Callithrix jacchus: one gene and its partners. The protein of the gene in region 2 purifies or fractionates together with the protein of the main gene of each other region. This does not show direct contact. Links are inferred from orthologs where the notes say so. Each region holds a gene or a part of one and is shown on either strand. Other genes may lie near its edges.

Evidence for each region.
Region 1: the proteins of DTL (region 2) and CUL4A purify together in Homo sapiens (affinity purification with western blotting; 15 studies listed by BioGRID and IntAct, with this or other methods). This does not show direct contact. The link is inferred for Callithrix jacchus from reciprocal best matches to the Homo sapiens genes DTL and CUL4A.
Region 3: the proteins of DTL (region 2) and COPS5 purify together in Homo sapiens (affinity purification with mass spectrometry; 6 studies listed by BioGRID and IntAct, with this or other methods). This does not show direct contact. The link is inferred for Callithrix jacchus from reciprocal best matches to the Homo sapiens genes DTL and COPS5.

The regions. Positions count from the first base shown.
Region 1 is NC_133502.1:28,688,454-28,692,106, reverse strand, and holds part of CUL4A (cullin-4A), read right to left. Parts: intron 3,123-3,653; coding exon 2,960-3,122; intron 2,463-2,959; coding exon 2,373-2,462; intron 1,354-2,372; coding exon 1,271-1,353; exon of another isoform or gene 49-1,270; intron 1-48. UniProt on the Homo sapiens protein: Core component of multiple cullin-RING-based E3 ubiquitin-protein ligase complexes which mediate the ubiquitination of target proteins. As a scaffold protein may contribute to catalysis through positioning of the substrate and the ubiquitin-conjugating enzyme.
Region 2 is NC_133520.1:17,185,646-17,189,298, reverse strand, and holds part of DTL (denticleless protein homolog), read right to left. Parts: intron 3,363-3,653; coding exon 3,315-3,362; intron 3,195-3,314; coding exon 3,069-3,194; intron 1,812-3,068; coding exon 1,713-1,811; intron 1-1,712. UniProt on the Homo sapiens protein: Substrate-specific adapter of a DCX (DDB1-CUL4-X-box) E3 ubiquitin-protein ligase complex required for cell cycle control, DNA damage response and translesion DNA synthesis.
Region 3 is NC_133517.1:22,930,829-22,934,481, reverse strand, and holds part of COPS5 (COP9 signalosome complex subunit 5), read left to right. Parts: intron 1-1,944; coding exon 1,945-2,056; intron 2,057-3,653. UniProt on the Homo sapiens protein: Probable protease subunit of the COP9 signalosome complex (CSN), a complex involved in various cellular and developmental processes.

The DNA of each region.
Region 1 (3,653 bases), on a different chromosome or scaffold from region 2:
TTACAAGGAACATTTTACTGTACCATCTTATTTAAATCTTACAGTCACCTTATAGAGAAGGGCAGAGCAGACAGAGCTCAGGAAGGCTGTGTGACTTGCACACCCTGGTTGTGGGGCTTGGCCGTGGCAGCCGCTCTCTCCGCTATTTACCCCGGACTTCCCTGGGGGCTCCTCTTCTGCTCCTGGTTGGATGGAAGCACAAGGTGGCCCCTAAGCTGCCCTGGCCTGGCTCAAGATCCTGGATTTCCTACAGGCTCCTTCAACTCCACGCATCTGAGTGACTGCATCTTTTCTCCTGCATCCTCTGTTTTCGTGCTGTATGCTGTCATAATCCTGTCCCTTTCCTTCACCCTGTCTGCCCCTTTCCCTACCAAGTCCTGTTCTGCACAGGGTACCATTTCCATGTCTCTTCCTCTGTCTTCTCTGCTGAGCCCCCCCGAGTCCTGTTCTGCACAGGGTACCATTTCCATCTCTCTTCCTCTGTCTTCCCTGCTGAGTTCCCCCCGAATCCTGTTCTGCACAGGGTACCATTTCCATCTCTCTTCCTCTGTCTTCTCTGCTGAGTCCCCCCGCATCCTGTTCTGCACACGGTACCATTTCCATCTCTCTTCCACTCTGTCTTCTCTGCTGAGTCCCCCCGAGTCCTGTTCTGCACATGGTACCATTTCCATCTCTCTTCCTCTGTCTTCTCTGCTGAGTCCCCCCGAGTCCTGTTCTGCACATTCTATCATTTTCATGTCTCTCCCTGGCTGTCCCCTCTGCCTCTGTTCTTGCCTCCCATCACAAGAATGGACCCTCTGTGCCTGACATGCAAGCTCACACAATCTCTAGCTTTTTATTTCCCTAACTACTCATCAACCTCGGGTTTACAGAAAAAAAACATCAGATGAAAAGAGAAAATTGTGTGACAGCACCAAAAATAAAATTAAAGCGATATAAAATGTGTAGCAGAAGGTTTGCAATCAAAATAGTCTAACATTCAGTAAGACTCCATTAACGTAAATAGACCATCTCAAAACTCAAAGATGCCAGGTATCTCAGCAAGATTTACTCCACTTAGACAATAAGCCATGACGAAGCACTGGGTAAAAAGTGTAATTTGTAAATGCCAAATCATGCCAAATAACATAAGTAAGATACGCTAGGTGCAAAAACACTCTTAGAAAGTACTGAATGAACTGACAAAGACACCCTTTATTTCAAGAACCAGCCAGGAGAACCTTCCAGCCGTGGTGAAGACACGAACGCTCGGTGCGTGAATGGTACTTACTGTGTGCCGTGGTCCAAGAAAGTGATTACTCGGTCTCCTTCCTCCTCTAAGCGTTTACTTACATGGTTAAGGTATTCTGGAACCTTCCAAACAAAACAAGCAGATCAGTAACAAAACAACTGCTGACGTTATTCAAGAAATCAACATTTTGTTTTCCTTAATTTTTTAAAAAATCAGAATATACATTCAAGCCAAATGTTAACACAGACTAATAGGGAGGGAGAGGTAGGGTGGAAGTGTGTGGGGGACAAGGAGCAGGCTCCTGAGACTAACATCCATCTTAGAACAAGCGCCCAGGCTGCACTTCTTTGTCGTCCCTGCTCGCCATCAAGTTTTGGGGTGTGCGCAGAGCCTCCTCCCATCCCCGAGGCCAGTGTGGAGGTGAGCAGCACCTGGTAGGAGGGTGAGGTGCTGAGCCCGCACAGCTGGGTCAGCAAAAGCAAGTCAGCAAGCTGGCTGCTCACGTGGGGACACCAAACATGGCTGCAGACCTCAAAGTACACCCACGTTTCCCAAGACATCACAGGAAAGGTCTGAGGCTCTGCCCTGGGTAGCTGCAGCCAGGTCCAGCGTCCGACATTAAACTTCCTCCCCAAAGCCAGGATAAAGGAACCCATGGCCAAGGTCCACTCTGGGCAGTAGCATGCACCATTTGGGTGGCAGCCCACAGGGCAGGCTCCTTTCTGACTCTGCTCTGCTATGTGGGAAAGTGGGCATGTTTCTGGGTTCCTATCACTATTACACGTTTTTTCACATGGCTTTTTTGGGAATTTTTTTTTCAGTGCTTCACACACATAAAAAATTTCATAATTTGTATTTATATTTCATTTTTAAAATGTTCTCATGTTGCTTAAATTTGAGTTATTTTACTTACTTCAGAAACAATCTTACTGGCTTTTTACTTGTCGGAGGAGTGCAATAGTTACTAAGTTAATGGAAACTAAATTCTTAGTATACTCAGAATGAAGCTCATTACTGGGTATTCTGGCAAGACTGCAGCTTTCAGATTTCAATGAAACGCCTGCGTGTGTGTGTAAAGGCGAACATTAGGGAAGTACTCCCGGGTGCTCGTCCACAGAAGCGAAACATCCCATCACCTCACCTCTCTTTCCTGCATCAACCTTTGGCCTTCTGCAGCATACAAGCAATTCGTTTCTTCCAAAAATTTCAGTTCAAATGAGTCTTTATACACCTAAGAAATGAGCAGAGTTACTAACCAATTTCAGTAAGGGAAACTATCTTTTCGAGTGCTAACACATCCTGGTTTCTGAGGGGCAGGCTGCCATGACCTGAACTTGGAGCTGTGGTCACCCAGCCAGCCCGGCTGCACTGTCCTTCCTCTGTCCTTCTCCTCCGGTGCCTTGGGGTCACGCTGCACTAAACAACTTCGCCCTTTGTGTTCTGTGTGCTGCTAATACTTTCCCCCAGCGTGTCACCTGGTTTTGTCTCTGATTTTGGTGTATTTTCCAGGAAAAACATGCATTTTATGTAGTCATATTGATCCATCTTCTCTTCTGTGGCACCTGGTGTGGTGTTAGCTTGAGAGTCATTCCCCTCCCACAAATTTTAAAAACTCCTATTTCCAACATGTTTTTGTGATTTCATTGTTAAACATCTTTGGTACAACCATTTATTCTGGAGCGAGGAGCTGGGCAGGTACCCGGGTATCTTCCAGTGCAGCGTGCTCACCTGCAGGTCGGACAGCATGCCCAGCAGGCTCCGCAGCAGGCTCCGGTCCACGGCCTCACCGCTCCTCTCACGCTCGATCAGCAGCAGGATTCCATCAATGGTTCTACTCTGAACCATTTTATCACTGATAATATGGGTTCTGAATAGTTCTAATCCCATATCCCTGTACAGACAGTAAGAAACAAGACGACTTAGTTTTGCTTTTTAGAAGTTATGGGTGAAACTCCAGCTATGCTATTCAACATTATCAAAAAAATGTGAAGTTGCTAATTCTCTACATCTAGATGCCAAGCATTCCTTTTTAAAAACGTCTGTTTTTTTGGCCAGACTAGTGTGCCATGTATTTCCTTCCTTAAACAGGACTGCTCCATGTTCCTGGGGGCAGTCAGGCACTAAGACACTGCTAGGTCATGCATGCCACTGACAATAAAATTAGTATGACACGATCTGCCATGGAAGCCCAGGGTTCTCATCACCTTCCTGGTGAGTGGCTGGAGACACTCAGGCACTCGAGTACCACGACCCTGCCTGCCCCACCTGCCCCGCCCTGGCTCCATCTGCAGCAGCCCTCAGCGTGCACCCTCTTCCCCGTGTCCTTATGAAGTACGTCCCAGCAGCTTCCCTTCCAGCCCTGGGAGCTCTCCTACCAAATGTTAGCTGCTTTCCCCTGAGAAGAGAAGCACGTGGATTTCAG
Region 2 (3,653 bases):
TCAGAATGGCGATTATTAAAAAGTCAAGAAACAACAGATGCAGGCAAGGCTGCATAGAGATAGGAACACTTTTACACTGTTGTTGGGAATGTAAATTAATTCAACCATGTGGAAGACAATGTGGTGATTCTTCAAAGACCTAGAACCAGAAATACCATTTGACCCAGTAATCCCATTACTGAGTATATAACCCCCAAGATAGAAATCATTCTACTATAAAGGTACATGCATGCATATGTTCACTGCAGCACTATTCATGATAGCAAAGACATGGAATCAACCCAAATGCCCATCAATGATAGACTGGATGAAGGAAATGTGGTACATCTACACCATGGAATACAATGCAGCCATAAAAAAGAGGTATCAGAGATCATGTCCTTTGCAGGGACATGGATGGAGCTGGAAGTCACTATCCTCAGCAAACTCAACACAAACAGAAAACCAAACACTGCATGTTATCACTCATAAGTGGGAGCTGAAGAACGAGAGCAGGTGCACACAGGGAGGGGAAAACACATATTGGGGCCTGTTGAGGGGAGCAGAGGGAGGGAGAACATCAGAAAAAATAACTAATGCATGCTGGGCTTAACACCTAGATGATGGGTTGATATGTGCAGCAAACCACCATAGCACACGTTTACCTATGTAACAAACCTGCACATCTTGCACATGTACCCTGGAACTTAAAATAATAAAAATAAATAAAGATTCACACATAAAAAATCAGTAGTCAGCACCCTAGGGTGCATGAGCCAAAGAGAATTTGTGGACTCAGACATTACACGTTCCCTTAATTACCACATGAGAACTACTACCATCTGATGTCAAATTCCTTTCCATAAGTTCATTAGTAATATATTCTCTAAAACAGAATCTATCTGAAACACATTCCAGTTCAAAAATCTTCATGATGCTGGCTGGGCACAGTGGCTTACACCTGTAATCTCAGCACTTTGGGAGGCCGAGACAGGCAGATCACATGAGGCCAGGGGTTGGAAACCAGCCTGGCCACATGGTGAAACCCCTCTCTACCAAAAATACAAAAACAAAAACAAACAGAAAACAAAAAAGAACTTCATGATGCTCTCTGAATGGAATGTAAAATACTTTGGTTTGACATTCAAATTTCTGCTTGCTTTAGCCTTTATCTTGGTTGCAAGCCTCATCTCTCACTGCTCTAGATATATCTTATTCCAATCAAATTGGTCACTTCCTATTTTATTATATCCTATGCCTTTTCTATCTCTAGACCTTTGCTAATGCCTTTCCCTCCACCTGGAGTGCCCTCTTCCATTTCCAGTGGTCTAAATAGACCAGTGGAATTTTATAATATATAAATTTTCCTAGCCTTCTTTCCTAAGAGGTGGGCAGATGAGTGAGTTCTCACTCTGTTAGTTCCCTGGAGAGCTGGTTGTTGAAAAAGGGCTTGGCACCACCTCCCTTTTCTTGCCATGAGACCTCTGTATTCATGGGCTCCTCTTTGGCTTAATGAGTGAGGATAGCCTGACGCCTTCAACAGATGTCTAATCTTCTAGCCAGCAGACTCATGCACCAAATAAACGTTTTCTTCTTTTTAATCTACCCAGTTTCAGTTATTCCTTTATAGCAACACAAGACAGACTAAAACAGAATGTGTCCAAATAATAATTCACTTGAGGATTTATAAATTATTTTAAATGTTAAAACAAAAATTGGAGACCTAGACTTACCTTTGAAGCACTTCTTTCTGAAAGTTTGTGATTCAGTGTTATACAATCGAACAAAGCCTTCTTCATTGGCAACTGCTAGGATATGTTCCATATTGGGAGCTAAATCAGAAATAAAGAATGAAATACATAGAGTAACACAAACATTTTTAAGTTTACTGAAAAACCACCAAAATTATCTTCAAATCATCTCTTATTTAGAGAAGGGCTAAATCGAGGGTAGTACTTAAAACAAGAGTGGCACTGGCCAATGGTAAACAATGGCATATGATGATGTAGGCCGCCAGCAGGCTGAGTCTATTAGTTTTATTTTTTATTACATTTTTATTAATTTTCACCACAATCATGACTACATAAGAGTCTATTAGATTTGTTTATTTTTGAGACAGTCTCACTCTGTCACCTAGGCTGGAATGCAATGGCATGATCTTGGCTCACTGCAACCTCCACCTCCCAGGTACAAGTGATTCTCTTGCCTTAGCCTCCCCAGCAGCTGGGACTACAGGCATGCACCATTATGCCTGGCTAATTTTTGTAAGCAGTCTGTTAGCTTGAAATTTCCTTTTCACAACTTTTTCTCTTTTTTCTCAAACTATTATGGGTGAAGACAAGTACTTCTATTTCTTTCTTTTTTTTTTTTGGAGATGAAGTTTTGCTCTGTCACCCAGGCTGGAGTGCAATGGCATAATCTTGGTTCACTGTATTCAAGCAATTCTCCTGACTCAGCCTCCCAGATTCAAGCAATTTTCCTGTCTCAGCCTCCTGAGTAGCTGGGATTATAGGTGTGCACCACCACACCCAGCTAATTTTTTGTAATTTTAGTAAAGACAGGGTTTCACGTTGATCAGGCTGGCCTTGAACTCCTGAACTCAAGTGCTCCAGCTGCCTTGGCCTCCCAAAGTACTGGGATTACAAGTGTAAGTCACTGTGCCTGGTCCCGCCTTGGCCTCCCAAAGTGCTGGGATTACAGGTGTGAGCCACTGTGCCTAGCGAAGTACTTCCATTTCTGTTCATATATTCCCCAATGAATCATGGAAAGATACATTCAACCAGATCAAAGGGTATGTATCTACTGGGTAAAACAATTTCATAATAGCTGAACCTTTGCAACCTTTTTCTTAATATCACTTAAAAAAAAATGGTGCTATAAGAGTCTATGCTTTAGAGGAAATATAGTTATGCTAATGATGCACAGAGATTAAGTTATTTTATAAATCAGAAGACAATGGTCTTTAAAAAAAACTCTAACATCCACCTAATTTACTTTTCTTTGAAAGGGAAATACTACAGTATATTTTCCCTGTAAGTGTGAAATAGATGATTTCTGTCCAAGCCTTGCCTAGAGAGTAATTCTCTTACCAGAAGAGAAGGTACATCCAAAAGGAGGAACTGGGACTCCTGTTTCTCCATAAGAAGTGTGTTCATCATTACCACTGCACTGATAACCAGCCAGAAGGGATTGTAGAGGGTATTGTGAAGACCATCCTAAAACAAGACAATTTCTTATAGAATTCCAATAGAGCATTACATTTCAGCATTTTTAACAAATGCAGAGGTAAATATTTGTTCTTAGGAAACTTTAGATATTAACACAGATCCACTTACTATTAATATCTATGGAAGAATCAGTTTCTGGTATTTTCTTAAAGAATCCTAAGGAAGAAATGAAAGAACACTTCCAACTTCTGGGGACATATAGCTTTGGGCTTACTATCTTAAATGTAGACTCTCACTAGTTCATTGAGATAAGAAGAAACAAGAGGCCTTTGCATATTAAGAAAGATCTTCTCCATTCTTGTAAGAGACCACCATGAAAGCATTCTATTAAAACCACTATTCCCTTCCATTAAATCCTTACTATGTTTGTGGAGTCACTAAATCAACAACATTACTATAAACTCTCAAGTTACTTGGAACATCATACAAAATCCAGTGGTCAAAAAG
Region 3 (3,653 bases), on a different chromosome or scaffold from region 2:
TCATTGCTAAAATTTAATCAGTAAGCATTCTTGCACTTTGGATCTGAGGTGGGTGCATCACTTGAGGTCAGGAGTTCGAGACCAGCCTGGATAACATGGTGAAACCTCATCTCTGCTAAAAGTACAAAAAATTAGCTGGGCATGTTGGCAGATGCCTGTGATCCCAGCTACTCAGGAGCTACACAGGACATTCGCTTGAACCTGGGAGGTAGACGCTGCAGTGAACCCAGATTGCGCCACTGCACTCCAGCCTAAGTGACAGAGCAAGACTCTGGCTGAAGAAAAGCATTCTGTTTTACAAGGGGTACCTATGTGTCTTTATCTTTTGCACCACTAATCTCTGAGTCTGAACCTCTGTCTCTTCTCATCTGCTCTGCTGCAGTGGCTTTCTTTGTGGAATCCCTGCCTCCAGTTTCTCTCCTGTAACATGTCCTGATGGTACTGCCACAGCCAGGCTTCTATAAAACACCCCTTTGACTGTATTATTAATCTGCTAAAGTACCTTCCATTCTACTCAAGCACTTTCCATGAGTCCCAGTTATCCAAAGGATAAAGTCTAAATTTCTTACCTTTTGGCCGGCTGTGGTGGCTCACACCTGTAATCCCAGCACTTTGGGAGGCCAAGGCAGGCAGATCACCTTAGGTCAGGAGTTTGAGACCAGTCTGACCAATACGGTAAAACCCCATCTCTACTAAAAATAAAAAAATTAGCCGGGCATGGTGGTGGTGGGCGCCTGTCCTAGCTGTTTGGGAGGCTGAGACAGGAGAATTACTTGAACCCAGGAGGCAGAGGTTGCAGTGAGCCAAGATCATTCCACTGCACTGTAGCCTGGGTGACAGAACAAGACTTTGTCTCAAAAAAAAAAAATTCTTAACCTTTTATGTAACATCCTCCGCCACCTAGACCCCAGCTTTCTAGCTTCCCCTCACATAATTCTTCTCTTGCTAAATTGTCCAGCTAAACCCATTACCTTATTATCCCTTACATGTCTTTCCTTTTTGTGTGTTGATGCTCTCTGCCTAATGTCCCCCTTGCTCTCACATATCCATACGATAGATTCATAAATGGTTACCCTACACCTTGCCTTTTCCCTGAGACTTCTCAGGCAATTCTAGCTCCAGATGATCACTTGAGCTCCTCTACATGAAGAGTACTTATTATCTCTAACCCTTAGTTGGTGGATGGTTCATTTTATATAGCACTATAGCATCACTTATTGTTATTCAATGTACATCATTACATTTAATGTTTTGGTGGGTTTAGACCACATCCCCCATATAAATGGTGACTTCCTCAAGGTAAAGATGTCTCTTATGCTTTTTTATATCCATTGTTACACGGAAGCAACTGAGATAGTTTAAATTTTTAAAAAATGCATTTTCAGACATTTAACTTCTAGATTTTTCTTACTATGCCCTGATGATAAATTAGGCACCTTTGAAAGTGGGAGCAATTTTTTTAGATGCCTTAAGGACCTACCTAAAAAATTTGATTTTCCAAAATGCAGTAGGTCCTAAATAGGGAACTAGAAAGGGAAACAAATCCACATGAGATTTTTATTATTTTAAAGTGGCTAACAAAAATTATAATTTACCCTAGAGAGGCAGCTCATTAAATTTATGTGCTGTTGGCTTCAATTTTTCAGCAACAGGAATAAACTTGTCATTCAGAAGTTTTGACTGGTTAATAACATCTTGGGAATTTCTGGGCTCTACAGAAATAAAAGGAATAAAACAAGGATGTTTAGTAGAAGATTTGGATCCACAACCCTTGAAGTGTAAAGAAACCATGGTTAGCTATTACCTTGTTGGAATAAAAACTAAAACATGAGAATAAGGGATAATTTGAGAATAAAGTATAATTCACTTAAATTTGGCCATAACTTTTATGTGATGTAGTTGAATTTTTTTTCACTTACTAAATTTTGTGCTTTTATTTCATAGATATTATGCCTTAGAGGTCTCATATTTCAAATCCTCTTTGGATCGAAAATTGCTCGAGCTGTTGTGGAATAAATACTGGGTGAATACATTGAGTTCCTCTAGCTTGCTTACTGTAAGTATTATACTTGCAAGGAATGCATTTGAATTTTATCTAAGCTACTTAGCCATTTAATATCTGAAACACTGTTTCACAGAAAGGCAGTACCTAACTTGGCCAAGACACCAAGGCTGAGGTGAGATTCTGCACCACCAGAGTGGGATTAGGATGCTAGGCCAATTCAAGATTTTTGTCATGACCCATAGAGACAAAGTCTAAGTAGCAAATAGAGTGGCCAGATCAGGGTGAGATCTGCTCCTGCCATAAGGAGATTTATGGATAAAAAATATACAAATATTGATTTTTGTGTATCAGGTGTCTCAGCTTGGAGTCTGGTTGCAAGTAACACGACACCTAATGAAATTAGCTTAAGAAAGAGAACTGCGTAAGTTGCAAAGTTGAGGAATAAGGCTTAACTTAGGCACAGCTAAGTTTTCATTCAAACAATATTATGAGATCTTGTGTTTTTTCTCTCTTAGCATTGATTTCATCTTAGTTACTGCTAGTTTCAGGCTTCATGTGAAAGCAAGACAGCAGCTTTAGCTTTAGACCTCCAGGCCTCTCAGTTTCATGTTCAAAGAAAGAGATGGTCAAGATACACACACACACACACACACACACACACACACACACACTCTCTCTCTCTCTCTCTCTCTCTCTCTCTCTCTCTCTCTCTCTCTCCCCCCCCCCCCCACCCTCTCTCTCTCTCCCAGTCAAAACTTCATTGTGTCTGACTGGCTTTACTTAATCACATGCCCATTTTTAGGACACACACACACACATACACACAGACACACACCCCCATGCAAAATTTCATTGTGTCTGACTGGCTTTACTTAATCACATGCCCATTTTAAGGCCAACTGAATAAGCCTGATGAATGGCTTTGGCCATGGCAAGTGCTTTACTGCTGGGCCACAGTGTAGAAAACTCCTTCAGTAGCTCAAGTACTAAAAACGGGGAAGGAGAGGTTCCCAAAGGGAATCAGAATAGCATTACCTTAAAGCAGTAGATGCTGGGAGGGAAAAAAAAAAAGAGGTCACTGAATTTTTTCTGATAATATAAAAACCCAAAATATTTGGAAGGATATTTAATCAGCTTCTCTATATATAGAACTTAGGAACAATTTTTTTACTTTTCTAAAAAAGCAGGCCATTTCATATACTGCAGTATATATAGTAGTTAGAACCATAGGATTTAGAATAAAATAAACTGGGCTTGGAGAATATGAGCTACAGCAGCAGGAGTCATAGTAGGACCATCACTTAGAAGTTTCTTACGCTCTTTGATCAAGTATTGGTTGAAAGGAGTACAGCTGAAGCTGGAACTAAAGAAGGCATTATGCTTCCAGAAAAATCTTAAGGTAAAGCATTGCAAGCAACAGTAGTAGCTGTTGGATCACGCTTTCAAGGAAAAGGTGGATTCAACCAGTTAATGTGAAAGTAAGAGATAAAGAATTATTCTCCCTGAATATGGAGGTACCAAAGCACCAAAGTAAAGAACTACTTTGCCATTCTTTAGGTTTATTCAGTTGACCTGGAAAGCCAAGGATTGTGTTTTCGTTTCGTTTTTTGAGACAGGGTCCCTGTCATACAGGCTGGAGTGTGGTGGT